4 linked regions of the Diceros bicornis minor genome follow. The protein of the gene in region 4 interacts with the protein of the main gene of each other region in a pairwise test. Links are inferred from orthologs where the notes say so. Each region holds a gene or a part of one and is shown on either strand. Other genes may lie near its edges. The genes, in order: ATF7IP, RASSF5, EWSR1 and SMAD4.

Region 1 (7,814 bases), on a different chromosome or scaffold from region 4:
GAACTCTTGGTCAATGTTCTTCCCACTACCTCAACATTTCCCTTAAAGACTTATGCTAATGAAATGGCTTATGAAAAAGGGTAAACAAATGGGAAAGAACAAGTGACAAAATAATAACATAAAATCTCGATTATCTAGCTCCCAGATTTATTATGCCCTCAGTTATTCAGCACAACAGCTAACCCGGAATTCAGCATAGAAAATTTGAAAACTGCCACCAATCTCAAAAGTAATGATCTCGGGGAGGTCCAGCTTATGCTTATAGTTGCAAAACTGCAACATGGCACTGAAAGAATTAGCAATAATATCCTGAGTAACCACAGAGTCTTGGTGTTTCCCCATGTACAAGAAATAATCAGTGGAGTCATCTTGTGAAGGGTGGAGGTAAATTTTATAGTCCGTAATAGAAGGCAGAAAGAGTGGATCATTAAAATTTCCCTGAGGTCCTACTCTGAAGATTAACATAAATTGATCAATAATTTCAACCTAGCCAGTTTTTCTCCAGCAATAAAGAATATGAAACCAAGTAGCTGGTTTGAATTGTATGAAATTTTTGAAATCCAGTGAACTGTTCATACTATGAGAGGCATGAAAATAAGAGTGATTAAGCACATTCACTTTACTATGTCTTACTCACTCCAGGGCACAACCTTATTGAAAGGAATGATGGATAGAATCTCTCACACATAATGAATTCAGTCTTCTTTTTCTCTTTTAGGGTCAAGCTCTTCCGGCTGGATTTACATGAAGTAATGTTCTGTTTATGAGAATCCACTGTATCACATAAAATAGTCCTAACAACTTTACAAAGTAATAAGTTAATGAAAGTGAGATAAGCATGCTAAAGCTGTTGATGAAACTGAGCTAGTGATGCCAAATATATTTTAGGCCACTGAACAAATGAACAATTATTTTATTTAAAAAAAAAACAACTAAGAACAAATATAAACACAATTTTGTGGAAGGCAGCAATTTTAAACCGTTAAATTGTATAAACATAGGTCTCACGCTCTACCTTCATGAAAATCAAAAAAGAACATAAAGAATATACGTTCTAGAATACTTTTCAAACCGAATTCCACAGTCCCTTAGCGCTTGGAGTTCTACAAATAAGCGACCTAGATCCTGACACTAATATAAGATTATAATTGTCATATATGATCTGATTTCAAAGTTTTGTTTTAATCATAACAGCCTAATTATTCTCATTTTATTAAATAAACTTATAATAAGTAAATGTTATAAATGTACATTATAAAATAATTACACAACAATAAAATACCACATGTAGCCCTTTTATCTACTGGGGTCCTTCATAAGAATTTAATGTGCAAAAAGTTGTTGTCTTTTAAAAGTTGCTATAATTAGAATAAAGTTCAAAACTTACTGTTCTATGTCATATTAGTCAGGGATATATTCATAATACTCTATTGACAAAGCTAGAGGAATGTATTATACCATTTAGAAAAAATTTTAATAAGTACTGTGATTTAAACATTAGTGCTTGAAGTATAACTGTTCTGCTATCTGAAATATTATGCAAATATGAATTTCATTCTCCTACCTTTCTGGGTCACTATGGACTTACAATATCTCAATAAACGTTTCTACTTCAGAACAATGTTAGGAAATCTTTTCGAGAATTTTGAAATTAAATTTACAAAATCATTGAGTTATATTACTTTTAAATATACCACAGGTTTAAACTAAGACTAAAATAGACATCAATAATTAATAACACTTAGTTAACTAAAACAACTCAGTATTTACCTCAGCTCTGTTGCATTAGAATACACTAGCTATAAAGAAAAGGGGTGTCCAGACCTAGAAGATGTGAACTTATTTCTAAATTCAAAATCTGAATCCAAATGCCACTTTTAAGGAAAAAGTAACTAGGATAATAAGTTAGCACCATTAAAAATGTGAAAGAATTGGATGGCCGGGAGGAGGCAGCATAATGAGAAAGAACTGGAACCTATAGTACAAAAAAAAGTCTAACGTTGTTAAAAAATTTTTTTCTTTCTCTAACTATGAGAGAATTATCTAACTATCCAGAGAATTAACATTCTTTCCAGAAAGCTACCAAACAATATCTCCAAACTACATGCACACAAAAACCCAGGAAAATCGCATTCTTTGTGCAAAACAAGGCTTATTTATGGCTTCTCTTTAAAAAATCTATTCAGATAATATATTGTTTTTAATTGCTACAAATGAATATCAAGCAAACTAAAATATCCAACACAAAAGGAATATTAAGTTAATTACAGCCAGAAAAGCACTACTGTGGTGATCAAATGTTCTGGCAATGACCGAACATAAGATGGTGAGATATTACAGGAATTTAACCTTTGACCTCACCAACCTATGTACTGTTTCCATAACAGAGGCTTAAAGGTTCCATCAGCAAACATTTCAACTTCTTAGCAAGCAAGCCCTAAGTTTATCTTTCTATATAAACTCAGTAAAATTACAATGTTTTTTAATTAAAATATTCAAAGATAAAGAGTAATTGGTTCTTACCTCTGGTCCTGATGCATGTGACAAGTCTCCTCACTGGCATAGTTGCTGCCTAAGCAGCTACAAAGACTAGGTTAGCAGCCATTTTGAGACAGCTGCACTGTCTCAGTTGCACTAAAGTGTAATTAAGATGGCTGCAATGTGCACTCAAGAACTCACACAGTGAAAACTCAGCTATGAATCAAACAAAGCCCCTCCCACTTTTTCAGCCTGCAGGAAACTGAACATAGACAACAGCTAATGCATATACTGCAACAAACAATGCAGCTACTCAGGACAGAGAAAACAGAGAAGGCAGCAAGCCAGTTTTGTAACATAATGCCTGTGAAACCCGACTTGCAGTACAGACTTTGGGCACATCCAGATCCCAGACAGCTTGAAGTCCACGCCACATATTAGCAGTTACAGAGATAGAGCCAAATCACACACAGCAAACATCAGGGAATTCGCTTGAAAGAAAGCCTCCATTTCAGTCCAGAAAAAAAAGTCAAACCCTGCTCAAGGCCCCCTTTTTAAAAAATCTTTTATAGTACTTTTATCATGAAAAGAGCACCAATTTTTTCAATTTCTGGAAAATTAAGATGTTTAAATCCTGATAGTCAATTTCCACTTATAGAAGGCTAATTAAAGATTTTCCCCACAGAATCTAAACCCCAAAGTGCTCAAATCCAACAGAATGGTTAAAGCTTGCAATCAAATTTTTGAATCTTGACAATAATTTTAAATAACTGCTGGTGAGGGACCAGAGTCATTACAGCTATGATGGCAACAAAGGTTATTTTGAGTAATCTGCCATAAAAAGAAAAATAATCTCTTCTCTTCTGTAGTCCAGATGGTCAGACATTTCCAGGTGAGTGTTTGGTCCCAGGGCAAATTAAATTTCATGCCCTGCCACAGACCTCCCAGCATTTTGATATGAGAAAAAGCAAATAAAGAATGTAGACACCCCTGGGGAAAAAACAAATAAAGAGACCAAAAGGGTAAAATTCAGTCTGAAAGTGGGTATATTAACAAGACAAATTTGAGAGAGATCCCTACAAATTTGTCTTGGCAGTAACCTAGCCATCAAGAGAAGTGAAGAACAAAAGCACAGAAAGAATCTGTTTGCTTGATAATTCACATCAGCTATTCACCTTTTCCTTCTCTCTTCCTTGGTTTACCTTCCTAAAATTTAGCTGCCCTGGGCTTTCTTGTTTCTATCCACCACTAGATGTAGGTATTTATTAAAACAATTGTTAAGGGTGTAAGGGGTAATAGGGGTATAACTAAAAGGAGATTGGCCCCATAAGTTGATAATTGTTCAAGCTGAGTAATGGGCACATGGAGTTCATTATTTCATTCTATTTCTGTATACATTTGAAATTTTCCATAATAAATATTAAAAAAAAAAACTACTCAGCTTTTAAAAGGTCCTTATTTATTCTCCATGAGGCAAATTGGATAGTGTATATAAAAACTGCTTTAGGTCCTGTGTCAGGAAACAAAAAATGTTATACCTGATCCAAGCCACATTAATTCTTCAAAAACTGTGATTCTCTGAGGGTGGCTCAAATCTAATCGGTAAAAGCAAGACCTTGGTAAGATTCGAACAGAACAGACATTTCTGTAGCACTGGAATGTGAGTACGGTTAACAGGGGACAAATAGCCAAAACATTTAGAGCTGCCTGATGAACAGCTTCTGATATTCAGGAAGCAGATTCTTTTGGAAGACTGTTCCACCAAGATTTAAATTATGTAACGCACCGTCAAATGCACAAAGCACCCCCTCAACCTTTAAGCCTCCCTGGTCTTGCCAAATACCTTTCCAATGTAAATCCTGACTACTTTTTTCTCAGTCTAAGCTTTCCTGGGCAAGCTAAGCTGCTGGCTACTATTACTGGCTATAACAGCTACTTTTCACCCAATTTAGATTTCAAAATAAGAGACACAATCTAAGTTTCATCATTATACCAATCGTCCTCCAGCCACTACAATCCTTTCACTACTGATTTACTAGATTTTCTCTATTATCCCAAGGCACATTAAGTCAAATCAATAAATATGTTAATTGTCTACTTCATGCAAGGGAATTTAAAAGACAAAGGAGTAGGGAGGTACATTAATATGGATCAAGCCTTCAGATAAGTTTTATATACATTATCTCAATTAATTCTCACACTAACCCTACAAGATAGGTTTTTCTCCAATTCGTGACCAAGGAAACAAGCTCAGAGATTAAATAACTTCACCAAAGTGCTAAGAGCTGCATACATCCTAGACTACACTCAGCCCGAGCCTGTGGAACTTTGTCCATCCCTTTCCACATTGGTTCTGTTTCTGTGCATCATGGAAATAGTTTAGGAAAGGAAAATGGTTAGGCTGTCATTCAGAAAACTGGTGCCACCACCACCATGTTTCACTTTATAGCCCAAAGAAAATATCTTGGTTCACCCGATAAATCCTATTCTTGATTCAACCTAAATTTTATCACTGACAATCCTTTCCTTACTCTCCTTTCTCCTTATTATGCCCATCCCCCAAACCAGGTGTAATTGCTCTTTTATGCATACCATCATTATACTTAACAAATTTCATTACCTATATCTTTATATATAAGTTCCTAATGGACAGAAACTATATCTTAATTCATTAACCACTCACTTCTATAGTGTGAAACACAATATTTATTTGCTCAATAGTGAGTTGAAATTAATTCCCAGTGTTTTCATTTCTACCACAAAAATCTTAGAAAATTCTATATCTTTAAGAACTTCATTTTTAGATCTCAACTCTTACTTTCTAGGAAGAAGAAGTCGTCAACTAATAAGTCAATTAAGTTTTTAGTCTTGGCCTAAAAAAGCTCTGCACTTCAAAACCCAAGATGGAAAAAATACCTTTTGTAGAGTATTTTTCAGTTTTTAGAGTGTTTTCATAGGCACTACACAGGAGGTACTATGTGCTCAGAACAGTTGAACTCTGAAGAAAAACTAGAGAAAATTATAGAACATAAGTATGTCATTTACTTTTAAATTTTTTAATATTACTAAGAAAGAATATAGCTTGATTATATAATATGATAGATTATAAGAAATTTGTTTTAGATAGGAGCAGTCTAATAAACCCAATCATCATTTATACGTAAAAGCAAACACATTTGGAAGCTATTTCTAATATTAGGCAAATATTTCCAGGATTACCCAATGTTTTATCTCTTCCTAAATAAAAACTAGCACTTTTCGCATAATTTTTTCATTCGCTCTTACAATGACTATGTAAAATAAGAATGCTATAATCTCAAATATTTATGACCAGAGAATGTAATAATTTGCCAGGAGTCACACAAGTAGTAGTGAAAAAGAACTAGAAGAGAATGAACTCTAGTCAACTACTATACTTTTTATATATCCTATATCACACTATTAGAAAACTTTGCATAGGCAAAATATTTTAAAATTCCATAGAACCTAAATAAAAGGTTTCATTGTATTGGGGAGAAAGTAAATATATTTTTCATCTATTTAGTTAATACTTTAATTATACAAGTTATTATCAACATTATACATATTAAAAGAGAAAGGGAACATTAGAAGGATATTAAGATGGTAAACTTAAAACACCTAATTTCACGTCCTCAAATCCCATTAAAACTACAGTAAAGATATTTTTTTAAGCCATAAATCCTCAAGAATAGGGAGAAAAGTAAAAGAAACAATAGCTACAAAGATTTAGGGAGCTGGAAAACAAGTAGAACCACTGGTAACTAACTTAGCAGTTCCTCAAACACCATATTCCAAGTCACACTGGGGACAAGTTAAGAACCAATTTGATTTACATGGCAGCAGTTTCAAAAGATACAGAAACTAGAAGAACTAGCCACCTTTGGAAATTGGAGTGAGGGGAACAAATAGTAGGGCAGTGCAATTAAAAAAGGGACTAATGAAAGTTGTTTGTGAAGCAATAATATACCCTAGGTGCCCTCACCAAACACATTCTACTGAATACCTGCTCATCCCAATCCTCGCAAAAGTCTGAAGACAACATCCACAGTTAAAAATGAGAGTACATACCAAAAAGAGTGGGATTGAGTGCTGACTGCAGAGACTCCTAGCCCTCTTCCTCCATTAATCTCCCAGAATGCTAGCAATCAAACTCTTATTCTCCATGTATGAAAATGGAAGGCTATTCTCTGAGAGTATCGAACAAACACAAGACAAAAGACCTTAAGGTCTTGGGAGCTCTCCAAAAATGGGCTACCCAGATCAGCCTACAGTGAAATTCAAAACTGACAAATTTAGACATTCTAATCAACTTTTTAATCTTCCACAACATATTATACAGTCAGGCAAGGAAGAGGAAAGGAACTAAGAAAAGTCTAACATGGAAGATAGAGTTCAAAACACAACAAAAAAAGCAATAGACTATCAGGAATAAAACTTCAAAAAAATATTAATATCCACAGATAAGAAAAGATGTTGCATTCATGTGTCAAGAACAGAATACTATAGGCAAGGAATGAAAAATAGAAATTAAGAACATGATAGAAAAAAAATGAAAAACTCAATAGAAGGTCTGGATGACAAAGCTGAAGAAATGTACCTGAGCAAAAAGACAAAGTTGTAAATAGGAGGCAAAACATAAGAAAATTGGAGTACCCATCCAAAAATTCACATTGGAATGACAGAATGACTAAAGAAAGATATCACCAATGAAATCACTTAAGAAAAACTTTCAGAACTGAAAGGCAGGAGTTGCCAGACTGAAAGGGCCCCGTGAATGCCAGCAAACAATGATAAACATACCCACTTCAAGGAACTACAGTGAAATTTCAGAACACTGGAGCTAATAACAGATTCTACAAGCTTCCATTGAGGAGAAAGTCAGAAATAAGAATGGCTTCAGATTTCTCAGTAGTAACAGAAGCAAGAAGATCTTGGAGCAGTGCCTTTATTCTAAAGAAAAATAATTTCCAACCTAGATTTCTATACCTAGCCAAACTATCAATCAAGCATAAAAATATAGAATGACAATTTTCGGACACACATGGTCTCAAAAAATATGCCTCTCACACACTCTTTCTCAAAAAGCCACTAGAGAATATGATCTCCTCCCCCTAATGACAGAATAAGTCAATAAAAAGACATGACACATGGAAAACAAGGGTCCTACACAGAAGAGGGGTGAAGGAAATCCTCACAATGATGAATAAAATTCTAAGGATGACACTGGTGTACCAGACATAGAGAGCAACTAGGCCAGACTACAGCAAGGAGACTCAAGAAACAAAAATGAGTCAAGATCCTTGCTGTCATTGTAC
Region 2 (7,595 bases), on a different chromosome or scaffold from region 4:
CATTAGTGAGAGCTCAGTTACTGAACTTGAAGTAGGGTAAGCTTAAGTTAGAGACAGTTTCACGAAAAAGGCAGGCAGACAGTGGGAAGACAGTTTTCTGAACGCTTCCCTTACTAAAAGCCCACTTTGCCAACACGGCTCCCACCCAGTGTCAGCCTCCTGGCTCAGGCAGATGTCACTCACATGCCCACTGCCCTTCTGCTTGTTCCCAAGAGCAGGGAGATTTAATAGAATAAACAAGCCACCACCTTCATCAACCACCACTTATTGAGACTGTGCTCTGTGCCTCACACTTTGCTGGGGGCAACTGACACAAAGACAAGGCATCAATGTCTTGGTGACCTCTAAGCCACTGCCATTCTGTGAGGACACTCCTCAGCCAGCAGGCAGGAATGGCATTTCTAGAGGACAATTAATACCTTCCTGGGATGCTCATGGCACTCACTTCCCCACTTGGCTCAGCAACCAGGCAGAGTCTGAAAACTGTATCACTGCATGGAAAGGTGATCCTCGGAAGTGTCATGAGCCCAGACAAATTGTTACACCTGTTGGATGGGCAAGGACAATAATAACACTCACATTACATTAAGCATTCATATTGCATTTTGCCAGGCACTGTTCTGAGCACTCTACATACGCTAATTGATTTAATTCTCGCATTAACGTGATGCAGTAGGTAATGTTATTATCCCCATTTTTTAAAACAAAGAAGTGGAACACAGAGATGCCCAGGGTCACACAGAGACTAAGTGGCAGAATCAGGATTCAAACCCAGGTCTTCTGGTTTCAGTCCGTTCTCTTAATCACTGCACAGTACTGCCTTTTAAAAGTCATATTTCTGACGCTTGCTTTTCAAAAGATAAAACAAACCAACCCCATCACAGAATTAGTTGTTCGACTTAAAGAAAGATGCTCCGTGAGCTTGGCCTGCTGTGTCCCCACCCGCCAGCCCTCATCTGCACATCAGAACATTTCTCAACTGCCCCCAGCCAGCCACAGGTCCACAATTAGTTAAACATTAATAATGACAGAGACTCCTCTCCATAGCCCGTTGATTCCAGCTTTGCTCCTCTCTGGTGTTCAGACATCCCTGGTTGGTATTAAGCCAACTGCGTGAGGGCCACAGGAGCCCAGGAAAACGAAGAGACTTCACCAAGTCTCACACAAAGTCAGACAAACTGCCCATGTACCTGGGTCTTCCTGCCACCAGAAACTATAAACTAACCAAAGGAAATAAATTCTAATGTGAAGTGAGCATAACTTCATTTAATCATGGAGTATCACACATATGCACATACAAACACACACAAATACACCATTATCGCAACAAAAAAACAAATCATAAAACTCTGTGCAAAATGTTCAACAATTGATACAGCCCCCAAACATCCGAATAGACTAGAATTCCAACGAAGCGGATTTCCTGGGATTCCAGCACAATAAAACCCATTACAGTGAGGATCCTGCCTGTCTCTATGAATATAGGGTTGGTGGATGCAGGAAAGTACCCCAAGACCCTTGAGAGGGCAAAAGTTGCCAACATGTCCATGGGCACGTTGCATTAGATTCTACTGTAAGGTCAGGGGCATTTATCAAGTAACAGCAGAGCACCACCCATAACACATATATCTCTATAACTTTTGCTCTTTCCTTTTTAATTAGCACCTGAACTGTGAGTTCCAGGGTTGGAGGAAGCAGCACCCACTTTCCCCTCCAACCTTCCCTTTCCACTTGATCCTGGCTTAGAGTCTGAGCTCTCCTCCCCTGCGGCCAGCTGCAGTAGAGGCACGCTGCCTCGGCTGTGGACTGCAGAGAGAGGCAAGGCAGGGTTTTCCTGAGGTGGAAGTAGCTGCTGCTGTCCGGTGCTGCAGTCCGATGGGAGTGTGAGGCTGTGCTCACAGGGGAAGGGCTTTTGCCAAAAGATGCAAACCACAACCCATTTCCAGAGACCCTTGTTAGAGGTTGTGCCATTGTCTGTGCTTTGTGCTTCAGATATTTAAAATACCTATATAAACACATAAACACATGGGGATGGATACCCTCTGCCAAACATGGCAGGAGCAGATAGGGCGGGTAGGTGGGGCACCCATTAAAGAACACTCACACCTAACTGTAGGAAGAGAAAAATAATGCACCTCCAAGAAGACCGCACATTTGCTCAGAAAATTTACACACTGGGTGCCCAGTGTTTTCTAGTCAGTCTTTGAGAAGAGCCTGGCTCAGGAGGCGGCTAGAGGGGCCTGAGAGCTCTGGGGGAGAAGGGACCCGGCAGGAGTTAGGTAATTTCAGAGCATGATGACTGACTGGTGCAGTAACCGAGGAGGAGGAAGAGGAGGCCAGCTCAGGACACAGCCAAACGTTAGAGCAGAGTCCAAAGGTTTGAGGGGCCAGAGGCAGAAGGCAGGAGGGGCACAGGTCCAGGGTGACCTCAGGCTCTCTTCAGCCTCATAGCCGTTTCCATCTAAAGCCCAACCAGGTCTCCTCCCTATCCCAACAGGTCGCCCTGGAGAAAGGGTATACCATAAGTGTCCGTGTACTGTGGGGCTGCACCATAGACAGACAAAGAAGCCATTTTTTGCCACGGGTCAAAAGGCCATCTCAATACCAGTCTCACAACCCACTCTCAAGAACCTACAACAAAAGCAGGAGGGTGCGCAGGGGACAATGGAATGACCTTGCCCTGCTGCCATCAACCCCAATCTGTGCGCGCACACGTGTGTGTGCGTGTGTGTGTGTGTGTGTGTGTGTGTACGTGTGTGTCTGGGGAAGGGCGAGGCGTGCACCTGTCAGGGGAAGAGGTGTTTGTTAAATACCGCATGACCATACCCGGGGAGTAGGCAGTCACTAGAGGATACTGGGCAGGGGACTAAGGAGCAGAGTGTCCCCAGGGCTTACCTCCCTTCGTTCAAGTCCAAGTTCCCCTGGAGCCAGAGAGGGCGATGCGCCCGCTGTCCTGCCCCAGCCCCTCGCAGTTCCTCGCCCGCGGACTGCGGTCCTCCCGCGCGCCCCTCCGCTCCCCTGCCTGGCCCGCACACTCACTAGCGCAGCGCAGCGCCTGCCGCAGCACCTCTCGTCCGCACAGGTCACACCAGCCCCGGCCGCTCCGCAGCGCCAATTCAGCGAAGCAGTGCCCCTCGCCTCGCTCCGCCGGGACGCGGGGATCCTGCGGCTGCTCGAAGATGCTCCGCACGTCGCGGGGCCGGGGCGCTCCCGGCCGCCGCCGCAGTCTCTGCTGCAGACCAGGCCGCAGAGGGCGAGCGGGTCGGGAGGCCCGGAGTTGGGACTCCAGGTCGCCCCGGGCAGCCCTCCGGGCGCCGCGCCCCTCGTGCGCCCCGGGCGCAGCGGAGAGGGGCGCGGGGGCGCAGCGGCGCGAGGACCGGCCGGGGGGCCGCGGCGGCGGCGGCGGCGGCTCGGGGCCGCTCAGGCTCTGCAGATAGCGCGGCGGTTCTGGGTCCAAGAGTAGCCGGTACGGGCGCTGCCCGATGGCCGGGGACGCCATGGCCATGCCCGGCTGGCGGCGGCGGCAGCTCCCGGCGGTGGCGCTCCTCCCGAGTCAGCCTCGAGAGCAGTGCCGCCCGCCCAGCGCGCCTTTAAAGGGGCCGCAGCCTGCGGGGCGGGGCGGGGGCGGGGAGACTTCGGAGAGGCAGGAAGGACGACCCGAGGGAACCACCCCACCGAGCGCAGGGTTGGCGGGGGAGGGGGCGGGGGGGTACTGAGCGAGTGTGGATTTAGGGGCGTCTTCAGAAGCGCCTGGACAACTGGGGCAGCTGAAGGATTTCGTATGGGAAGGCTCTATAGTACAACTCAAAAGAGGCATTTCTGGAGGGGACGTCTACCCTCAGCCCTGCCTCTTTCCCTCTCCCATCACTTCCCCCACCGCAGATCCCCCCGCCACCCGCACCCCAACACGCCCAGGGGAGGGAGCAGGGCAGAGGCAAGGGCTCAGGAGCCGGCTGAGGATGGGATGTGAGGAGAGGCCCACGGGCTGGATGTCCGCCCGCCACCCTCCGGGGTTCACGCGGACGGGAGGGACACGCTCCTTTGCTCCTCCTCCCGCCCCCTCGCCGCCCGCAGCCGCCGGCGAGCCGACCCCGCCGTGGGTCGCGAACGCCCCGCTTCCGCTCGCGCTCCCGCCGCGGCGCCGAGTCCCGTGACCAGGAGGGACCCGAGCGCGGGGGCGCTTCTCGTGCCGCCGCGAGAAGCCGCCTCCGCCGCGGGCGAGGCTGTCCGTGTGCGACTTTCATTCTTGCTGGATTTCCCCTCTCAGCAGCCCTGCCCGGTAGGATATTCCCTTCTCGGAAGACTGGGGTTATGGTGATCGTGGATCCTGGATTGTGAGAACGCTCCAGCGCCCCATGGATTGGGAAAGATTTTCCAACTAAGTCAAACCCTCCTCTCACCACAGCTGCTCTGGTGATTCCTGTGGAAACACCGGTCCCCCCAAAGCCGTACATTGCATCTGGTGTGAACAGTTCACCTGTGAGATCCAAAGAGAGATCCGTTTTCTACCAGCACCAGGGCAGACTTCATGAACCCCTCCCCGCAGTTTAGTGCCCTGCTGTCACCGTCTTGAAAGTCTCAATAATTTTGGAACAAAGGGCACGGCATTTGTTTTTGCACTTGGTCCCGCACGTTATGTAGCCGGCCCTGACCAGCACATTTGCCCATGGAGACAGCCCCGTCTCATGATGGGAAGCAGGCGCCTCCCGGGCTCCCGGGTCTTTGTACCTCCGTGTCCTGACGCAGACCAGCTGGATGACTCTGGGCCCTCTCTAGCCTCTGCAGTTCTCAACTATACATTGATCCAGGAGTGAGGAGACAGGGACATGCTCTCGCAGTCTCCTCCAGTCCCACCACTCTGACTCAGTGATCACTGCCGTCCTCTTAACGCTTGGGGTTTGGTTTGGTTGATCTAGCAGAGGTCTCAGCAACCAACTTTGGAAATGTCTCAATTCTTCCAGATCTGAGGCTCTCCCTCCTCTTCCCGGCCTAAGATGGGTCTCCCCCTACTGTCTGCAAGGGCAATCTTCACTTTTGCTTTTTATTTTCCCCCTTGGAGGTAATTTTTCAATAATTCCTAACATTTCTAGTCTGGTGGCTGGGGAATTCCCAGCCTGCTCTGGTCCATGGCTTCTCCCTCCTGGTAGGGATCTTCCTAGAGGCCTCTGCCACCGCATTTGTAGCAGAGGACATGTTGCGTCCCCAGCTCTCACCAGAGTCTGGAGCTTCCCAGCTCATGAGGTGGTTTCTGGGCAGAGGAGAAGAATGCCCACAGCAGCCAGCCCTGCAGTGCGACAGAGCAGAAGGAGTTGGGATGGGGACCTGTGAGCCACCAGCCACCCCTCTGCTCCCTCCTCCACCCTTCCTCTCCGGTCTGAACTTCTCTCTACATCAGTGGTTTTCAAACTTTGTTGTGTACCACTCACCTGGAGGGCTCCTTCAATCCCAGATTAGTGGGCTCCACCACCTGAGTTTCTGAGTTGGTGTGTCTGGGGCTGGGGTTTGAGATTTTGCATTTTTAACAAGTTCCCAAGTGATGTTGATGATGCTGGTCCAAGCCCCAACTGCTCTAGATCTAACGTGGTGATAACAGAATGGGCCTCCCTGTTCTTTTCTCCACGGGGTAGGTGAGGTCCAGTGGGACGTGACTGAGGAAAACTTGGTGGAGGGGGCTGTTTCTGAATGCTTTCTGCTGAATGTTTACAAAGGAAAGTGCAGTTTGCCTTTGTGGTCTCTCATTTCTCTCTCTCCTATTTTTTCTGCAAGCAGTTCTCTTGGGCTTGTTGCAGAACCTGCATTGCATGGAAATATTTGCTGGTATCCACCCTCTGCTATCCACCCCTCTCCACAGGCTTGAGACACGTCTGGAGGAGATCACTCCCTCCTGGGAGGGCATTGGACTGGGTGAGGTCCAGGGTGTGGACCCAGCTTAAGTTCTGGGTGACAGCTTAGTGTGGCAAGAAGAAGAGGAGACCTGGCAAAGAGTTCACCACTGGAAGGCCGGTTTTAAAGTGCCATTGGTGAAATAATTGCCAACAATCACATCTTTGCCCTCCACCTCCCCACCCCCAAGCATGATTATGGGCTGCCCAGCCCAGATTCCCTGGATGGAGAGGCTCATGGGAAGAGTGTCTCCTCGGGCCCTGGGAAAGTGGGGACTATCTGGAATAGTCAGACATAAACCCTTGCCCAGGTTCTGAACTGTCCAGAAAACACTCTGGTCTTTTTTTCCTGCTGCAGCTCCGATCTGGAGGAGTGGTGGTGGCTGTTCCCAGCACTGAATGGGGGAGGAGACCAGGCAGGGTCAGAGCCCTACATTTGGCGTCTGGGATGGGAACAGAGATGAAAATGGAGATAACGTAACTTCATGTAACCAATCCAAAAAGTGTATGAAGTTTATCTTAGGGTTCATCTCCCTGAGCCAGGAAATTGAGGTCGGGGAAGTAGTTGCCTCCCCTGAACCCCAACGGGAGGCTCCCTGCCTGGGACTTGCCTCCTCTGATGCCATCTTTCCCAGCCTAGTCTCCTTCTTCCCTGAAACAGCATCCCCTCCCACAATACACACACATACATGCACGCCTGTGCTTGTGCGTGCACGCACACACACACACATATGCAAGTCATTCCTCCTTCCCCAGGGAAGAAGTACTAAATAAACTCTAGTCTCATTGTAGAGTCGGGACAGTATCTGGGATAGTGTACGATGCTTGAACTTCAGAATTGTTAGGATGGGTCTTTGGTCTTGCGGGCTACAAGGGTGAGACCCCAGCATGAGCTGAGACATCTCCACTAGAAGCTTTCCCCCATGTTAGCAGATCCCCTTGGCTCAGAGCGTGGACTTTTTTCTGTTTGTGACTCACTCCCAGAAGAGTGGGTGTGCTGTTTTTATTTTGAGTGTGTGGTCAGCATGTGAAGTCACTGCAGAGGTGGTCCCAGGGTGTGTTCGTATTGGGCAAGTTGTTTCAAGGCTGTCCCACAACTCCCACTGAGCTTCCTAGTAGGAAGGAAAAGGGAAGGACAGAATGTGGCCTGACTTTCTGAAGGGGAAGTTTTTGGTTTTGTTTGGCTTTGAGGCATTTGAAGTCGCCTGAAATCCCCGAAGCATTTAGGGCCCTCCCGGTGACTCTGACAGCACTGCTGCCTGCACAGGATCTCTGGACCTGTCAGGGCAGGTGAGCGTACTCTGTGGTCATAAACAACCCCAAATCTCAGTGCCTTTAAACCAGAGACTTCTTTCTCACTCACATTATGTGCCCTTTGCCAGTTGGCAGGGAGACTGTTCATCAATGCCACCCAGGGACCCAGGCTGATGGAGCCACCACGTCTAATGTTGCCAGTCACCATGCCAGAGGGAAACCCAGAGGGCCTGGAGGACCCTTCATCAGCATTTCAAAGTTCCAGTCACTTCTGCTCACAACTCACTGGCCAGAACTAGTTATATAGCGCACACTACACAAGGGGAAGCCAGCCCTGGTGGTCTAGTGGTTAAGATCCAGCGCTCTCACTGCTGCTGCCTGGGTTCGTTTCCCAGTCAGAGAACCACACCACTCATCTGTCGATTGTCACACCGTGGTGGTTGCTGTGATGCTGAAAGC
Region 3 (7,929 bases), on a different chromosome or scaffold from region 4:
GAGTTAACGTAGAATTGTGATAATCCGCAGAGGAGAAAGCATTTAATCTTTCTGGGAATAAACTGGTTTTAGGTAACACCATCTTCTTAAAACTCAAAGTGATTTCAACTTAAAAAAAAAAAATAAAATCACAAATTTTCTTTCCCTCTCTTCTCTAAGTATACCTTTCTATAATTTTCCTTTTCATATGAAATTTACAACATGCACAGAAAGGGACTAAAAACTGTGGTCCGGTGAGGTGTCTAAGAGTAGTGAAAACAAACAGAAAATAAAATGGTTATGAAGTTTTCACAGCACTACTGAATTAAGCTTACATTTAAAGGAGTTAAAATAATTATTTTTAAAAATTCTACCTAATTCTTTGCTCTCCACAAGAAATACATATCTTATTCTGTTAGAAAACAGTACTGCCAATAGGGCTGAACAAAAGGCTCCTTTCTTTTCCAACCAGAAAGTAGTCCCTCATCTGAAAGCAACAGTTGACATCTCAGCTCTTCATGGTGGGGTTTCTACCTCAACTCCATCCTGCCTCACAGTCCACCTGGCCTCAGAGCATTTTCCTGAATCCATCTTTTCAAGTTGGCTCATCTTTCTACCTCTCTACACCTCACTTGACTACTTTCCTTCCTCTGTACACATCTTTAACGCAGAACCCTGAATCATTAACATGATCAAATCAAATGCCCAAAGGCTATGTATAATGAACAAACTGATTTTTCCAAGATGACCCTAAGACATTTTAAGGTTAAAACTTAAGGCATTTTCAATAGCACTACAAGTTATGCTCTCTGTGGCATATAAAAAGTAAATACAAATCACTTCTTCCATGTGGTATTCACAAACACACCAGTGAGGCATCAAAAATCAAAATATTTCAACCTACATTTTGCTGAGGTTTCTACGTGAGAAATGATTCTAAATCACTGACATGTAAGTTCAATGTTTGCAAGAAGACTTTTACACAAGAAGAGTTATGTAAAACATAAAGTTGGCAAAGCTGATGTGGAACAGCGAATGATCTCCGATGTGTGTGTGAAATCAGCAGATTTAGCCCCACATTGTTCGGCTAAGTGAGGTAGCAAATTTGTTTCATGAGAACTTATGTTATCAACCTACTGCACATAAACACTATTATACCGCCTTAAAAACGTTCCAGTTACACACTGGTCAGATTATTTAGCCATCAGTTATGTTTTGCTTTTAACCTCCAAACTTGCAGCTGAAGATTTCACTAAAAATAACAGGCCAGGTTGAGGAGAGAGGGGCTGTGATCCAGGGGGGCCTCTAGAGTGCTGGCAGTGTCCTATTTCCGGGTCTGAAAGGTGGTTACTTGGGAGTTTGCACTGTAATTCTCTGTTAAACCAGACACACTTTAGGTACTTCTCTATATATGATATACATAAGTAGGAAAAACATGGAGCATTATCCAAGGTAGTGGCTTTTAGATACTTTAGGGCAGTCAGTATCCAAACTGCAGAGATTTAGAGCTTCATACCACATAATAAGCTAAAGTCAGTATGGGGGAAGTTTGTGGGAGCCCAAATGCTTTGCTGTAAAGACAGAAATTAAGGGCTTAAAAAGCTCTTAAAACATCTAGCCTAACTCCTCCATTTCAAAGGAAAGGAAACCAAAGTCCAGATAAATTGCGGGACTCTCCAAAGGTTCCCCAGCCAGGCCTACTGCTGGGTGTCTACATAAACCACAACTGTAATTCTAACACAGTACCTGGTGGTTACCAGTAAAGAGAGTTTGAGCAAAATAGACCAAAAAATTGGCACGTCCAGCCACACAAAAATTTCAACATACACATTCTGACTCCCCCTTACATAATTCAAACACTGCAGGGAAGAGGAAGGTGGAAAGGCCTCTAAGGAAACCACTTCCCACCAGGATGTGTATTGGACTGTGGTATTCCAGAGTCCTCTCTTCTAGGGGCACTCTGTACCCTGGCACTAACAGCCAGCATTTACTTGCCTGTTTACTGACCACACAGTTCGGGAAGAGTTCTTAAACTGTCCCTAAGTTCCTGGAGTCTTGAACCTTTTCGAATTAAAACTCTGAAGGACCCAGAGCTTCTCCTGTCTTATCTCGTCTTCTCCCACTGCCTCTAGGGCCTGGAATTAGGCCCTCTAAGAACACCCCCGGAGGCAATAATGCCCCATCCTACCAATAACCACAGCTTAGCCCTAGAACAAACCGCAGGTGATGTGGAGGCTACACTCTCAAACGCTCTGTGCAGCAAGAACCACCCTAGACATCACGCCCGAGCTCCCACCCCGAGCTTTCTTTCCAAGCCCACTGTGTGCCTCCTTTCCCTCTTTTCTATCAGTCCACGAAATAAACAAGCCTGTCGGCTTAACATATGAGAATAAACGTGCGAGACGATTGCTCGAGCACAACTCAAACGCCGACTCGGGCCTTTTGTTTCTCCTAGGTCAAAGAGACCAGAAATTTCTTTTGGGAGGGATTTCTGGCCTCGCGATTCGGGCTGACCTTATACAACAGATCTCCCTCGGCGTCTACTGAAAAATGATCCTAGGAGACTACTTAATTACTTTTGAGGGAGGGAAGAGATGGGATTAATAACTATAATAAACGGAGAAGCCCAGGGGGCAGCTGATGGGGAGGCTCTAAAGGGGGAGCACATTCCCTCTAAAGCCCATGCGGGCAGAAAAGTTCGGCTCGGGGCTAGAACCCGCCAAAGGGGCAGCTCGGCGGCACCGTACGCCCCAGCCGACCCGGCCATCAGGATGACGGGGCTCCCGCTCATCGGTCGGCGCCCCTCGGCCCACGGACCCGCGATGCCTTTTTTGTTGATATGCTTCCCCCTACTCGGGCTTCTCACTGAGGCAGACTCGCCTTCCAGCTCGAACCGCCTCCCTGGAAATGGGGGTGGGGAGGGTCAGAGTGGCAGCCCCAGAGCCGCCGTTGGCCCCCCGCCTCCGGTTTCGGGGCGCCAGGCTCCAGGCTTGGCCGAGCCTCTCCCCCCACGCGGGGCCCGGGAGGCCGCAGGCCCCGCCCACGTGGCGGGCGGCCCGGAGCGCGGGACCCGACGGCCGCCACACAATAGAGACCACCGCGAGCCCCGCGCGCCCCCGCCGCCGCGAGCCCCCCGCGCGCCGGGGGCGCCAGAAGGTTCCAGAACCGGCCTGCTCGGTGGGGGGAGGGGAGGGGAACGCGGGCCCTCGAGCTCGTCGGGCCGCGGCGGGTACCTCACACGCTTCTCAGCAACTCCACTTAGTTGCCCCGGCCACCCCCAGAGACGAGCGGCCCCCGATTTGGGCGACCCAGCCGTCGCCGGCGCGACCGCAGCTCCACCACACTCACCCGTGGACGCCATTTTCTCTCCTTCCTTCTCGTTCTCTCAACGTCCGTCTCCCTCTCGCTTTCCCTTTAGGCGCCGCACTGCGCAGGCGCGAAACCCGCAACCTCGGGCGCTACCATGGGGCCAGGCCACGGGGGTGGGGGAAGGAGGGATGAACCACAGCTTTCTGGTCCTTCCCGCCCGCAACTCTTGTGCTATTCCTCTCTAAAGAGCGCCGGACGTGACGCGCGGGCCAAAATAGCACCAAAGGGGCCGGAGCGGCCGGTGAGCGTGTCTTGGTATCAAGCCGGAGTGATTCTCCGCACGAGGCTAAGTCGTACGGAATGGTTACGTCCGCTGGCTCTAGGGACCGTCTCTGAAGAGTCTGCCTTGGAGGGAAACGGAGGCCGGCGGGAGGGTTGGGGGAAGGGACCCGGGCCTAGAACAACTGCTGACTAATCGGCGGGCGGCGGCGGAGGGGGTGGTGCGCCGGCCGGTCGGCAGAGGTCACGCGCCCGACTGCGAACAAAATGGGCTCCGGGCGCTCGCGCCGTGGCGGGAAGTTAGAGTCCCGACTCCCAGGCGGGAGCCCCCCGCGGGCTTCCGGGGGCGGGGGGCGCGCTCCGCAGTGAGTAACTCCGACACGTGGCCCAGGCCGGCGGGGGAGGGGGCTGAGGCCGGTGGGCTGGATGGGAGGCCCCGAATGTGGTGCCCGGCCCGAGAGCCGCCCCCCCCTCCCCGGTAACGGTCGAGGTTGAGAAGGCCCTTTAATATCCCCCATCCAAAACTCTTGTTTTTACAGAAGGGGAAACTGAGGTCCAGGGAATTTGGGTACTTTTCCTAAAGTCACAAAGCTGAGTCTGACCTACACCTTGGGACCCCCATTCTCTTCATCACCCGGAAGACTCTTACCCGTCTTTATCTTCCCATTCTGTCCTCCTGGCTTCTCAGTAAGGTAGGCAGGGCCTGATGGTGCACAGCCCCATTTTATAGATGAAGAGACTGAGGCCCGGAGGACTCAAGTCCTAGTTCTGTTAGTCTATGGGCAAGTCCTTAACTCTTGCTGAGGTACCCAGGGAGGGATGGTTGTGAGGGTGCAAAAGCAGGCTGGCAGTGGGTGCCATAGCTCCGGACAAGGCTGGCACCTGTCTGCCTTCCTGGACTCAACCCAGTCTCCCCAGGCAGGTTCCCAGGCCCAGGGAAGTGCAGAGCTCACCCAAACCCCTCAGTGGGACCTGGAGCAAAGCTAGTGGCTTTATTTCAGTCAACACATATAGAGCACCAGCTATGTGCTGGGAGCACCCGGGGGAACTGGGGGATGAGTAAGAGCACCCCTTTTCCCCAGCTCAGACCACCTGTCTAAGGAGAAAGGCCAAGCTGTGCTCATTAGATAGGCTAAGATCCATGATGTGGGGGGCCAGAGGAGGGGAAGGGGACATTTGAGCTGGGCTTCAAAGCGTGAATAGGAGTTTGCCTATTGGCGAGATGGAGGCAAGGACATTGCAGGCAGAGGAGCTTTCTGCATTTTTCCTGCAGGAAACTGGCAGGTGGGTTTTGATGCTGAGGATGCCCTTAAGCAAGGGAGCAGGTGAGGCAGCCTTTGGGTCTCTGTGGGATTTTGCTTCCTGCCCTATGAAATCAGCTCCGTGGGAGTCCTGAGGCAGGCCTGGCCAGGGGTGAGGGGGGTTCCAGCAGGGCCTGGAGGACAGGCTAGATGTGAGGGAAGAGAACAAGGAAGAAAAACCCTTGCCTTGTGGGCAGGGAATTGGCATGTTTGAGGGCCAGAGCTTGAAACAGCTAGGCAGGAGCAGTTGCCTCTATGTTGAGGCCTCCTCTTGGTGGGCCAGCTGCTGGCTATATCTGCCTCCCACAATTAGGCGGATGGCTGCAGTTCATTGAGCAGGGTCTGTGGGCCCGGCCCTGCATTATCCCATTCCTTTTTCTCATCCTATAAGGAAAGGATTTTCTTAATCCCCATTTTACAGATGAGGAAGGAGAGGCTCAGAGGCTGGAAAACTTGCCCAGGGATGCACAGCAGGAAGAAGTGGAGTGGATACTAAAACCTTCCTGTGAGAAGAGGGGCTAGGGCTGGAGGGGCTGTGCTCAGGACTCACGAAGGGGATGTGTCAGTCCGGTGTCATTTTGTATGCACTCAGGGTGAGGGACTCCTGTTGCCCCTCCTCCACCCAGTCTGTCCCGCCTCCTCCCTAATCTGCCTGCCCATTGGCTGGCCTCACCTCCTCCCTTAAGTGCAGCTGGGGCCATCTGGAGCCCTAAGGCTGAGCCCGGTGGAGGGGAGGAGGGAGGAAGGTGGCTGGTCCACAACCAGAGGGAAGAGGGAAGCAGAGGAAAGCTGGAGATGGCCCTGAGTTTGCCATGGGGGGCTCCACCCCTCTTTTTGGGAGTCCAGGGCCCCCGTTAAACTTCCCTGGCCCTGTGCCTCCCACCCCAGACTCCTCCTTAGGGCCCATCAGGGCTCAGGGCCCTTTTGGCCTGGCCCCTCCCCGTCTTCACACATAGGCAGATGGGATGGCAAAATGGCTAGGAACGTGGTTAGGATCCGAGCTCCTCCATGGCCAAGTTGCTGGGCCTGCCTCTCCAGCCTTAGTTTCTACTTCTGTAAAATGGAGCCGCTGGTAGGGTGGTTGAAAGGAAATCAAAGAAAAGCTGCAGAAATAACTTATTGTTTTCCTTTGCCTCTAGCACACACCCCGAAGACCACCCTTGACCACCTTCAGCCCAGCTATGCCTGCCAGAGGCCCCCCTGGCCTACTGTCACCAGCGCTGCCTCTCGCCTCCTCGGTCCTGATGCTGCTCATGAGCAGCTTGTGGCTGGTGGGGGCTGGCCCCAGCCTTGCCCTAGCCCCAGAGCTGCTGCTGGACCCTTGGCAAGGTGAGGGCTGGCCACATGGGCCTTGGAGGAGGCAGGAGACTTGCTGTAGGGCCTGAGACCAGTTGGCAGGAGTGGTGTGCCCTGGGGAAGGTCAGCCTTGGACGGGAGCATGCCCAGCTCATTCACAGCCAAGAAGGGAAAGCAGAGGGGCCAGCAGAGGGGTGGGAGCCTGTGGGTAGGAATTCTTTTCAGATGACTTCCCTTTTTGATGACTTTTGCTGGAAATAAGAACTAAGGCTTTCAGCTAAGCATGAGAGTGGGGAGGAGGTGCTGGGGGTTCGAGGAGTGACCCCAGCTGAGTGCCTGTTTCCCAGTAATAACAGCAGCTTCTATTTACATTTGAGGAACCCAGCTAATGCTCACAGAGGTTAAGTGACTCGTGCACAGTTGGTTGCTTTTGAGAAGACTGAGCGTTGGGTCCGGCTTGTTCTGTTTAATACAGCAGGGGAGCAGTCACAGTGTTTGAAGGTCCTTGGTCCTGGTCCCCTGCATGCATGATTAAAGTGCTGGCAATGGGCAGACTTTGACTCCTGGAGAGGGGAGGCTGGCTTAGCAGGTGGCCCTTGCAGCGTAATTTCCAACCTGGAACACCTGGGACAGCCTTGGGGGTTAGGGCCACTAACCTGGCACATAAACCCCTTCTCTCCCCCAGTGCACCGGCTGCTGACCCATGCCCTGGGCCACACGGCCCTACCCGGCCTGCTCCTGAGCCTGCTGCTCCTGCCTACACTGGGCTGGCAGCAGGAGTGCCACCTGGGCACACTGCGGTTCCTGCATGCCTCTGCCCTGCTCGCCCTGGCCACCGGGCTAATGGCCGTGCTGCTGGCAGGCCTCGGGGTGTCCAGTGCAGCCGGTGGCTGCGGATACATGCCTGTCCACTTGGCCATGCTGGCGGGGCAGGGTTGTCACCCTAGACGGCCCCATGGGGCACTGCCACCGCGGCTGCTGCCATGGCTGCTGCTCGCCCTGACGCCGCTGCTCAGCTCCGAGCCACCCTTCCTACAGCTCTTCTGCGGCCTCCTTGCTGGCCTGGCCTGTATCTTTTGCCTGGGCCGAGGGCCCATGCGGACATGTGGGTTCTGTGGCTGGGCCCCCAGGGTGCCTGGAAAGGAAGTGGCACAAGGAGGTAGCCCCAACAATGCTGGGAACCTGTGCACACACATTCTGGGGGCTCGTGGCCGGGTGGAGGTGCCGAAGTGGCCCAAAGAAGCACCTAACCTGGACTTCCTCAGTGGAGGCAGCATCTACACTGAGATGTGCAGGATGAGGAGTTCAGGTGAAGAGAAGTGGAAAAGGAGAGAGTGGGCCAGGCAGAGGGCACAGAAAGGTCAAAGGCCAGGGGTGAGAGTGAGCCTGGGGCTGTCTGGGCACTGAACGGAGGTGCCGCCTCTGGCTGGTGGTGCAGGTGTGTTCAACACAGGCTCTTGCTCCAAAGATACTTAGTGCCTGGCAAGGAAAACAGTGCAGTTGGAGAGAACAGTGGGCACAGGCTGACCCCCTGTAGGCATTTAAGACTGGGGATGCCAGCTGCCCAGGCCTGGTTGAATCCTGGAGCATGGGCAGCATCTTTCCCTGGCTGAGGGCAATAGGGGATATGTCACTGGGCCCAAGAGTTGGCCTCAAGTCACAGACCTGAGCACGCCACAGGGCTCTGGGAACAGAACGGGGCAGGGGGTGGCTGAAACGGGATGAGACAGCTTTTGGGGTGAGGCATATCTGGCCCCACCTCTTA
Region 4 (8,534 bases):
ATTTGTCAACTGAATTTCTCTTTTGAAAACAATAGAATCTTCATCAACTGTTGAGCAAAAAGCCCAAAATTTGATAATTTAACAAAATTGTATTAAATTCTGTGCTATGCTTATCTAACTTCTTTAACATTCATTTAGTGTAGAAAATAATGAAATCCATAAAATAGTTTTAGTCAGGTTGGTTTTATACATGATTAAGCAACACCTCAGAGTCACCGTTAATCATCACTTAAGCAAAACAAAAATTTCTAACTACACAATCTTCTAGGAAAAAAACAAAAAAGGAAATCCAAACATGTACAATGAGCACTGAAATGGTGCTAACATAAGATGTTTAAAGAACCATTCACTCTAAAATCACTGAAAGAAAAATGAAAAAAAGTTAGGCATGAGCTAGAGGCGGATAAAATAGAACTGAAATAAGTAAAGTTTAAACATAAGAAAAATAAAGTATGCTTCACCAGAATAGGCAAAATTTTAGATAAGACTAAATATGCATTTTATATGTAATGCATGAGACAGATCCTGTAGGGTTAACTGCCCCAGTAGAGGCCTCAGCAATTCACAGCTCAATTAGAATAGTGTCTAATGATGTTACTATAACACTGGCTCAATCAGAAAAAACAGCTTCCAAACTGGAGAGCTGGAGTGTGACTGGGCAGCATAAACTAGTTTTTAATACTTGCTCTTTAATTTGAGAGAAAAAAAAATCTGAAGGGCAACGAAGAAAAAGAATTCACACAAATGGAGAAACAGCTCAACTAAAATGTAGCTTAAGAAAGTGAAGCGCTGGTTTTTAGAAATAAGACTTGCTGCTTCCCAGGATAAGCAGAATTGCTTCAAGAAGCAAAGCCATCAGAAAAGGTCCATGGTCCACATATAACTTATTCCCAAAAATTTCTAAGTGACTTTCTCAGCACAAATTTTCATTAAATCTGAAACTAATTGCAGTTGTTTTCTAAGCTCAAGGTTTACAAGGAAGGCACTTAGCTAAACAGAGAAATTTCTACTTAGGCAGTCCCACTTCAAAAACAAAAAAAATTAAGATGCAATACCTCTTTAAAGTAACCTCACCCAAAAACCTGGAAAGCAAAGAAAAAGCCACTTCTATTAATAGACTCACAAAATGTTATATCAATTTTCTCTAGAAAGGCTTTTAGTTTTAATTCCAACAACTTAAACCTACATAATTCATCACCACCTTTAGACCTAAAGATACTCCAAATCTTAAATCCTTGGCCTGCCTGTATTACATTTGTGCTATAACAAACCCACTTAAAAAAACAAAATCATGACGACGTTATAGAAGAAACATTAATAAGAAATCAGATTTTAAAATGTTAATTATATCAATCATTTACAACTTGAAATATCATGTACTAACCATATTAGAACTTTCCAAAAGAGAAAATAAATCCTTAGCAGGAAAAAAAAAAAGTTACACACGTTAGAACTTCCCACGCTACATTTCAACTGAAATACAGTCTCAGTACAACACGGTAAAAGCAATTTATGAAATCTGCAATTAAAATTATTCAAATGCAACGTTCTAAACCTAATTACTTTATGAAAATAAGCATTTCTGTATTTTCTATTAACACTAAATGCCTTCTTCCAGCAAAAAGTACTGAACCTGCTTTTGAAACACCCGAATAATCAAATGGCTACTGACACTAAAAGGATGCTAATTCTGGCAAAAGTCAAAGTTTGTCAAGTTGTTTGCCAACAAAAATTGGCCAAGATTACATGCCTTCAGAAAGTCAATACAGACTAATTAAAATGATTCCCCATTACCTTATATGTATTATTCCTAAATAACTGGTAGTTTCACCTAAAACTATGGTGCAACAGCTAAAGGCATTATAAAACTAAACTCAAAATAAATTAATTAGAAATATATTCATTTAAAAAAATTTTACTTGGCTTTTCAGGGGGAAACTAGCTACCAATTTTCAATAGGGTTGTTTAAAACCTCTCTATACCCGCAAAGAAATCTTTCAAGTTAACAAAACACACCCATTTCTTTGAAAATCTAGCTTGAGAAACCATAACAGCAGTTTGGGGAATGTGATGGAGCCACCGCCCTCCACCCTACACCAATCTCACTCAGTACTTGTAGTCCTAGCAATAAGATAAACTATGTCTTCTCTTTTTTATTAGGGGCGGGGTGGGGGGTGGTCAGTTAGGTGCTAAGAATGTTTCCTGCATACTGCCATCACCCACAATACTCAAAATGTAAGTAAACAAATCAAAGCCAGAAACATACACGGGAATGACACAACCAGGAAGAGAAAGTAAGGGACAAAGAGAAAACAAAAATTTGCTTGAGAAAAGAAATCAAGACCAACCATCTATAACTTTCCTCTAGACCTAAGGCAATACGCTCCAGCCGCCCCGCCGCGCTCGGCCGGGAGGACGGGGAAACTACTCCAGAACAACAAAGAGGAGCGGCGGCCGCAGCGGGAGTCCCCGTCCCAGTTCAACTTGATTCTGCGACAAACTGCGAGGGGAGTTCGGGGCCCGAGGGCCGGCCCCGAGCCCGCGGGACGCGAGGCACCGCGGCCCAGCGCGACCCGCCGGCCCGGCTCGTCAGGCGGCCGCGCTCGCTCTCCGGGCGGACCCGCCGGCCTCCCGCGCGCTCCCCGCCGCCGGGAGCCCGCCCCGGGGCGGGGAAGCCGCGGGTGGGGTGCGCGGGCCCGCCGGGGGAAGGGGAGGGGACATGGCGAGTTACCTGGGCTCGGGCGATGGCGAGGGGAGTCCGCTCTCCCGCCGCGGCTCGTCCGCGGGGCGCCGGGCCCGTCGCTCCGCCGGCGGCCCGGAGCGCTCCTCGGCCCCCGCCCCGAGGCGTCCGGGCCAGGCCGCCCCTCCTCGGGGCCGCGCCGCTGCCCGCGCGGGCCGGGCCGCCTCGAGCTCCCGGGCCGCCCCGCGGCGGGGGGCCTCTCTCGCGGGGCGCCCGGCTCCCCTCACCCGCTCCCGCCCCCTGGACGGCCGCGGAGCCGAGGGGAGGGCGGGAAGGGCCTCCCGAGGAGAGCGGGCGGGCGCGAACGCGGGCTCCGCCACCCGAGCCGCTCCGTTACCGCAGCGGCGACGACGACCAGGGCCGTGTTGTTGCTGCCAACTTGTCGAAAGGACACTGAGCATGCGCGCGCGGAGACCACATCCGGGTAATTTCAGGGTTTGGCCCTTTTTCCCCGCAGCTTTCCTTTCTCCCGGCTGCCCCCGCCTCCCGCCCCTAGTGACGGGTGGATAGCTCTGCGCAGGCGCCTGCGGGGCACCACCAGTCGGCGGGCTGCCCGGAGTCCTAGCCTGGGCTGAGGCCCTGGCTGAGCGCGCTGCCGCGCAATGGTGCGGGGGGGGGGGGGGGGTTGTTTGCAGGGAGTGGTCATCAGAGAAATTGGCATCCCTCTCCAAAAAAGTGCAAAGTGCCCAAGCATCGCTGGAGAGCTCGGCGTATAGTGGCATCCAGTAAGTGTTTATAAATAGCGATCAGGCGGGTCTTGTTTTTTGAGGACCTGCGTGGGCTTAAGTATTAGACTTTAACCGCTAGCCCTGGGGAGACGGTGCTGTAGCGGTGTACTTTGGGAAGAAACTGGCGATCACCGCACCATCCTTCCCTTTCCACTAGCCCTGGATCACTAGATCCAAAAGTATCTACACTAAAGAGACTCCCTCTTTTGGGTTAAAGACGTGCACAGTAGAGTCAAGGAATCACACATTTGAGAGCTTGGCCAGATCTTAGGAAAAGTGAGTGGTTCTTGTTGGAAGAGATTTAGGCGGAACCTCAGAGTTGAAGGGACCTTCGAGGACCTACTACACACCTGTTAACTAGGTTACCTGTTGGGTAAGGAAAGGCATAAACTGTGCTTTTGACTTTATACTTCTTTTCTTTGAAAACTTTACAAGATGCATGCATTTCTTTTACATTTAAAAAGTTTCAGAAAACATGTACTAGTTATATATTATTTTTCACCAATCAGGATATAGTTCCGTTGGAGATCTCACCAAGACTAATTATTGGAAAGTTCTAAAGTCATTTCTTAAGTCTTGTAGCCCAGAAACTCTCTAGTCCCCCTCCTACTTTTCACACACAGTGCCCCGCCCCCTAGCCCCATGCTGCCCTCACCATCATAGCCTGGGCTCTTCCCCCTTCTACCAGAAAGCCTCTAAACTATCATATTCACTTATGTTCCCTTACCCCTGGGGTTCATGAAGACCTTCCAAAACTAGTTTTAAGGGAATTCATTTCCAGATCTTCCACCGCTATATGTACTATTTTCTAAAATTGCTCAGCTTGGGAAAGCACCTGAGGACACAGCATTCTCTTTCAAAACTGTCCTTCTCCCACCTTACAAAAAAAGTCAACACTCACACCCATTACTAAGGTGTATCGACCCAAGATGTAAAAACCTCCACGGCAATTCAAAGGGACAATTCAAAAATTGGTGTCTGTGCTGAGAAAGTGAATGACCCAAATGAATGAGTTATAAGTTCTTTTGCAAGTCAGCTGGTTTCCAGTTCTTTGCTATCAACAAAATTGAGGGCCAGCCCCGTGGCTTAGCGGTTAAGTGCGCGCGCTCTGCTACTGGCAGCCCGGGTTCAGAACCCCGGGCGTGCACTGACGCACCGCTTGTCCAGCCATGCTGAGGCCGCGTCCCACATACAGCAACTAGAAGGATGTGTAGCTATGACATACAACTATCTACTGGGGCTTTGGGGGAAAAATAAATAAATAAAATTATAAAAAAAAAAAATTGAAAGAAGATCTAACCAGGTGATTTGATAATAGATCAACATGTGATTCTTAGGCCATATACCCCAGAAGGAGTTATAAGAATTAAGTAACACTGCTATAACTAAACTTCTTCCATTCCCATCTGTATTAATCTGTTGTATATAACAATATTACCACAAATTTAACAGCTTAAAACAACACACATTTATTGGCTCACAGTTTCTATGGGTCAGGAGTCTAGGCATGGCTTAGCTGGGTCCTCTGCAAGATCACAGAGTGAAACTTGACTGGGAAAGGATCCACTTCCAAGCTCACATGGTTGTTGGCAGCATTCAGTTCCCTGCAGACTGCAGGACTGAGGGCCCTAATCCCTTGCTGGCTGTCGGCTGGAGTCCCCCTCAGTTCGTTGACATGTGGCCCTCTCCATAGGGAAGCTTACAATATGGCAGCTTGCTTCTTCAAAGCCAGCAAGGGGGAGAGCCTCAGTGCAAGACCCTAGTTACAGTCTTATGTAACATAAGCACGTACATGTAATCACATACATCCTGTCACCTTTGCCATACTCTTGGCCAGAAGCAAATCACAAGTCCCACCCCCGCTCAAAGGAAGGACACCACACAAGGGCATGAACACCAGGAGGCAGGAATAATATGGAGCTACATTAGAGTGTGTCCACCACACCATGTATTTATTTATGCAAATGAAAATCCCTTTAAACTCAACTCCCTCAGAATTTCTCTTCAGTTTCCCTTCACCTTCTTGCTTAAGGAAAACGTGACTTTCCCCGGGACACTGCTTCCCTTTCCCCCTTTCAAGTAGTGGCAGCTATGTTTTCAACCATAAGCCTCTTCAACTGTGCCTGGAGGTGGGGTAGGTGTCCTCCTTGCTCCTTGACATTGCTTCCAGACCATCCTCCTCTCCCCTTCCTTTTAACCTGCAGCTTTGTGTGTTTGTGTGTGAGGAAGACTGGCTCTGAGCTAACATCTGTGCCCATCTTCCTCTATTTTGTATGTGGGATGCCGCCACAGCATGGCTTGATGAGCAGTGTGTAGTTCGTGCCCAGAACCCGAACCTGCGATCCCCGAGCCACCAAAGCGGAGCACATGAACTTAACCACTATGCCACCAGGCCGGCCCCTAACCTGCAGCTTTAAATCTTGTTATCCAGTAATCCTCATCGTTGCTCTCATTCCCCTTCATTTTTTCACTGTTTGCTCCTATCAGTCACTCCAATACCACTTCTGTCTTAATTCTAGGTGCTTATAATATATACTTAGATGATCTTCCCAATACCCTGACCTCTCAGTTCCTTGACTTCTCCTCCAAAGATCTTGTCCTACCCTAACTCAGCCACTCACTCTCATGGGCATAATTACAGGAGCCTTATCAAACTTGGCAACTTCATTATAATCACAATGTCAAACATCTCACATGGTGAACACCACCTCATATTTCCATATTTCCTTGTAGTACTCTGACTCCAGCAATTCTTCAACCTACGTATCCGCTCTCTCCCATCCTTAACTCAGCTTAAACCCCTGGCCAATCATTACAATCATTCTCTTGCACATACCCTCAGTCTGCTTACTCCCCTCCCTCTTTGTTGTGCTTGCTGGACAAAACCACAATTCTGATTCAAGCCAGCTCTCCACCTACTCCACGCCAGTACCGCTGCATCTGAATGTGGCTAGAGAAAAACACAATTACACTGACTAGTTTCACTTTAATTTTATCACTGTGAACCTCAAGTGAGCCCTTAGTGCTGCCCAGGAATCCTACTTCCCTCCTCCATTCTTCTGGATTTCATACCTTCTCTGTCTTCTAACCTACACCTCCTTCCCTCTTATCCTCATTTTCAGTTAATAACCTTGCTTTCTATTTCATTGAGAAAATTGAAGCAATGAGACAAAAACTTCCACAGAATCCTCTTCTTCACCTTCCCCTCCGTTACATAGTTGAATTTTCCATGCTCCTAGCTAAAGCCAGTCCCTCTGCTAAGGCAATAGATCCCAATCTCATCTTGCCTAATCAAGATCATCAGCATCACTCCAGCAATTATCTCCCCTCTTCTATACTATCAGTGTTTCCCTCTCTACTGGGTGATTCCCATAAGCTTATAAGCAGCTATTATTTCTCCAATCCTACAAAAATCTTCTTTTTGACCCAATTCCACTGTCAGCCACTGCCCCATTTCTCTGCTTCGTTTGCAACAAAACTTCCAAACGAGTTTTCTATACTTTTTGTCTCTAGTTCTCCTCCCATTCTGCAGCAGCAGAATACATACCATCTGATACAATTTATATAAAGTTCAAAAACACTCCAAATATGATGTGTATGTAAGACTACATACATATGTAATAGAATCATAACAACACACACAATGTTATATCTTTGGCATATTTTAGGTCTTCAGCTGAGAGGGTCTCCCACGGTCTCTTTTTTATTATTATTATTTATTTATTCCCCCCCCCCCAAAGCCCCAGTAGATAGTTGTATATCATAGCTGCACATCCTTCTAGTTGCTGTATGTGGGACACGGCCTCAGCATGGCCAGAGAAGCGGTGCGTCGATGCGCGCCCGGGATCCGAACCCGGGCCGCCTGCAGTGGAGCGCACACACTTAACCGCTAAGCCACGGGGCCGGCCCCCTAGAATTGATTCTTAATCTTATTTCATTCTGGCAAAAATATTCTACACTTTAATTTTAATAGTTTATCAAAATTTGTAATATCTTATGTTGTTTAGATCAATGAGGTATTCAAAATTGTATCGATGATAAAATCAAGATGAGTTTTTTAAACTTAGAAACTCAGTCAAAAGATTTTTTAAAAATTTTTATAGGGAAATATGATAGGCTGATTGATAAAAGACTTTCCAGTCTAAAATCTTACATTAAAATGTTCCAGGGGCAAGTTGAAAGGAAATACAAGATAAGTAGAAAAAGAGTGATGTAAAATTTCTTTTAAAGAAAAGCTTGTTCATGTATCTTTTAAATGGATGGTAGATGCATTATGATATTTACATTCCCTTGGATACACTTAAAGAATGATGTAACAATCTTATTTTAAAATTCCAATACTTATAATATGCCAGAAATAACAAACTTTGTCATCATTTAAATTTAAGATGAAACATTTTAGATCTGACCGTTAAAAGTACAAGAAGAAACATAGTTTCTAAAATTTCTTTAGGAGGTAAGCAAGCAAGAAGTGTTAAAGACCACAGTCCCAGAGCACTTCAGTGGAGCTAAGCTACCACTTTTCCTGAGACTTCTCCAGGAGAAACATCTCAATTCTCACAACCATCTCTGACCTTAGCAGGCAAAGGCTTTGAAAGCTTTCTTTCCCTTTTACTTTCGTTGATGGCTCTACCTCCTGTGAAGCAGAGCTTCCCATGGGTGAGGAGAATGCAGAGCTTTAACCTCTTCATCCCAGAGGTGGAGACAGAGAGCTGTCACCTCCAGCACTGCCCACCTAGGAAGGAATAGAGTAATATGTTAACATGGAAATGACCTAGCAATTGACAGCTCCAGGCACAGGTTAGCATCAAGACATTTTAGACTTAACCCAATATTCTTAAAAGTAATCCAAGTTGCCTTTGAAAATCACTTAACATTGATTAACCTGAAAACATTCCTTAAGGCACCATAGTAAACTCTGTCATCTTCTTTGGCTTAAAGTGGAGGAAGTTATGTTCGAGGGTGACTGATGTGCATTTGACTATCAAGTGATTTGTTCTTGTAGCTTTAGAGGAGGCCAAAGATTTGATGAGGAAGAGAGAAGATGGGTGGCGCCAAGGCTCCAT

What was found.
Region 1: the proteins of SMAD4 (region 4) and ATF7IP interact in a two-hybrid assay, tested with the Homo sapiens proteins (2 studies listed by BioGRID and IntAct). The link is inferred for Diceros bicornis minor from reciprocal best matches to the Homo sapiens genes SMAD4 and ATF7IP.
Region 2: the proteins of SMAD4 (region 4) and RASSF5 interact in binary tests that used the Homo sapiens proteins (3 or more experiments, as listed by UniProt). The link is inferred for Diceros bicornis minor from reciprocal best matches to the Homo sapiens genes SMAD4 and RASSF5.
Region 3: the proteins of SMAD4 (region 4) and EWSR1 interact in binary tests that used the Homo sapiens proteins (3 or more experiments, as listed by UniProt). The link is inferred for Diceros bicornis minor from reciprocal best matches to the Homo sapiens genes SMAD4 and EWSR1.

What each region holds. Positions count from the first base shown.
Region 1 is NC_080756.1:46,822,814-46,830,627, forward strand, and holds the start of ATF7IP (activating transcription factor 7-interacting protein 1), read right to left. Parts: upstream 3,462-7,814; 5' UTR 2,541-3,461; coding exon 2,524-2,540; intron 1-2,523. UniProt on the Homo sapiens protein: Recruiter that couples transcriptional factors to general transcription apparatus and thereby modulates transcription regulation and chromatin formation. Can both act as an activator or a repressor depending on the context.
Region 2 is NC_080743.1:99,554,188-99,561,782, forward strand, and holds the start of RASSF5 (ras association domain-containing protein 5), read right to left. Parts: upstream 3,511-7,595; 5' UTR 3,506-3,510; coding exon 3,040-3,505; intron 1-3,039. UniProt on the Homo sapiens protein: Potential tumor suppressor. Seems to be involved in lymphocyte adhesion by linking RAP1A activation upon T-cell receptor or chemokine stimulation to integrin activation.
Region 3 is NC_080774.1:22,947,644-22,955,572, reverse strand, and holds the start of EWSR1 (RNA-binding protein EWS), read right to left. Parts: upstream 3,443-7,929; 5' UTR 3,341-3,442; coding exon 3,328-3,340; intron 1-3,327. Other genes in the region: RHBDD3 (rhomboid domain-containing protein 3), read left to right, coding at 3,443-3,589, 6,008-6,197, 6,850-7,233. UniProt on the Homo sapiens protein: Binds to ssRNA containing the consensus sequence 5'-AGGUAA-3'. Might normally function as a transcriptional repressor. EWS-fusion-proteins (EFPS) may play a role in the tumorigenic process.
Region 4 is NC_080755.1:43,330,259-43,338,792, reverse strand, and holds the start of SMAD4 (mothers against decapentaplegic homolog 4), read right to left. Parts: upstream 3,125-8,534; 5' UTR 2,732-3,124; intron 1-2,731. UniProt on the Homo sapiens protein: In muscle physiology, plays a central role in the balance between atrophy and hypertrophy. When recruited by MSTN, promotes atrophy response via phosphorylated SMAD2/4.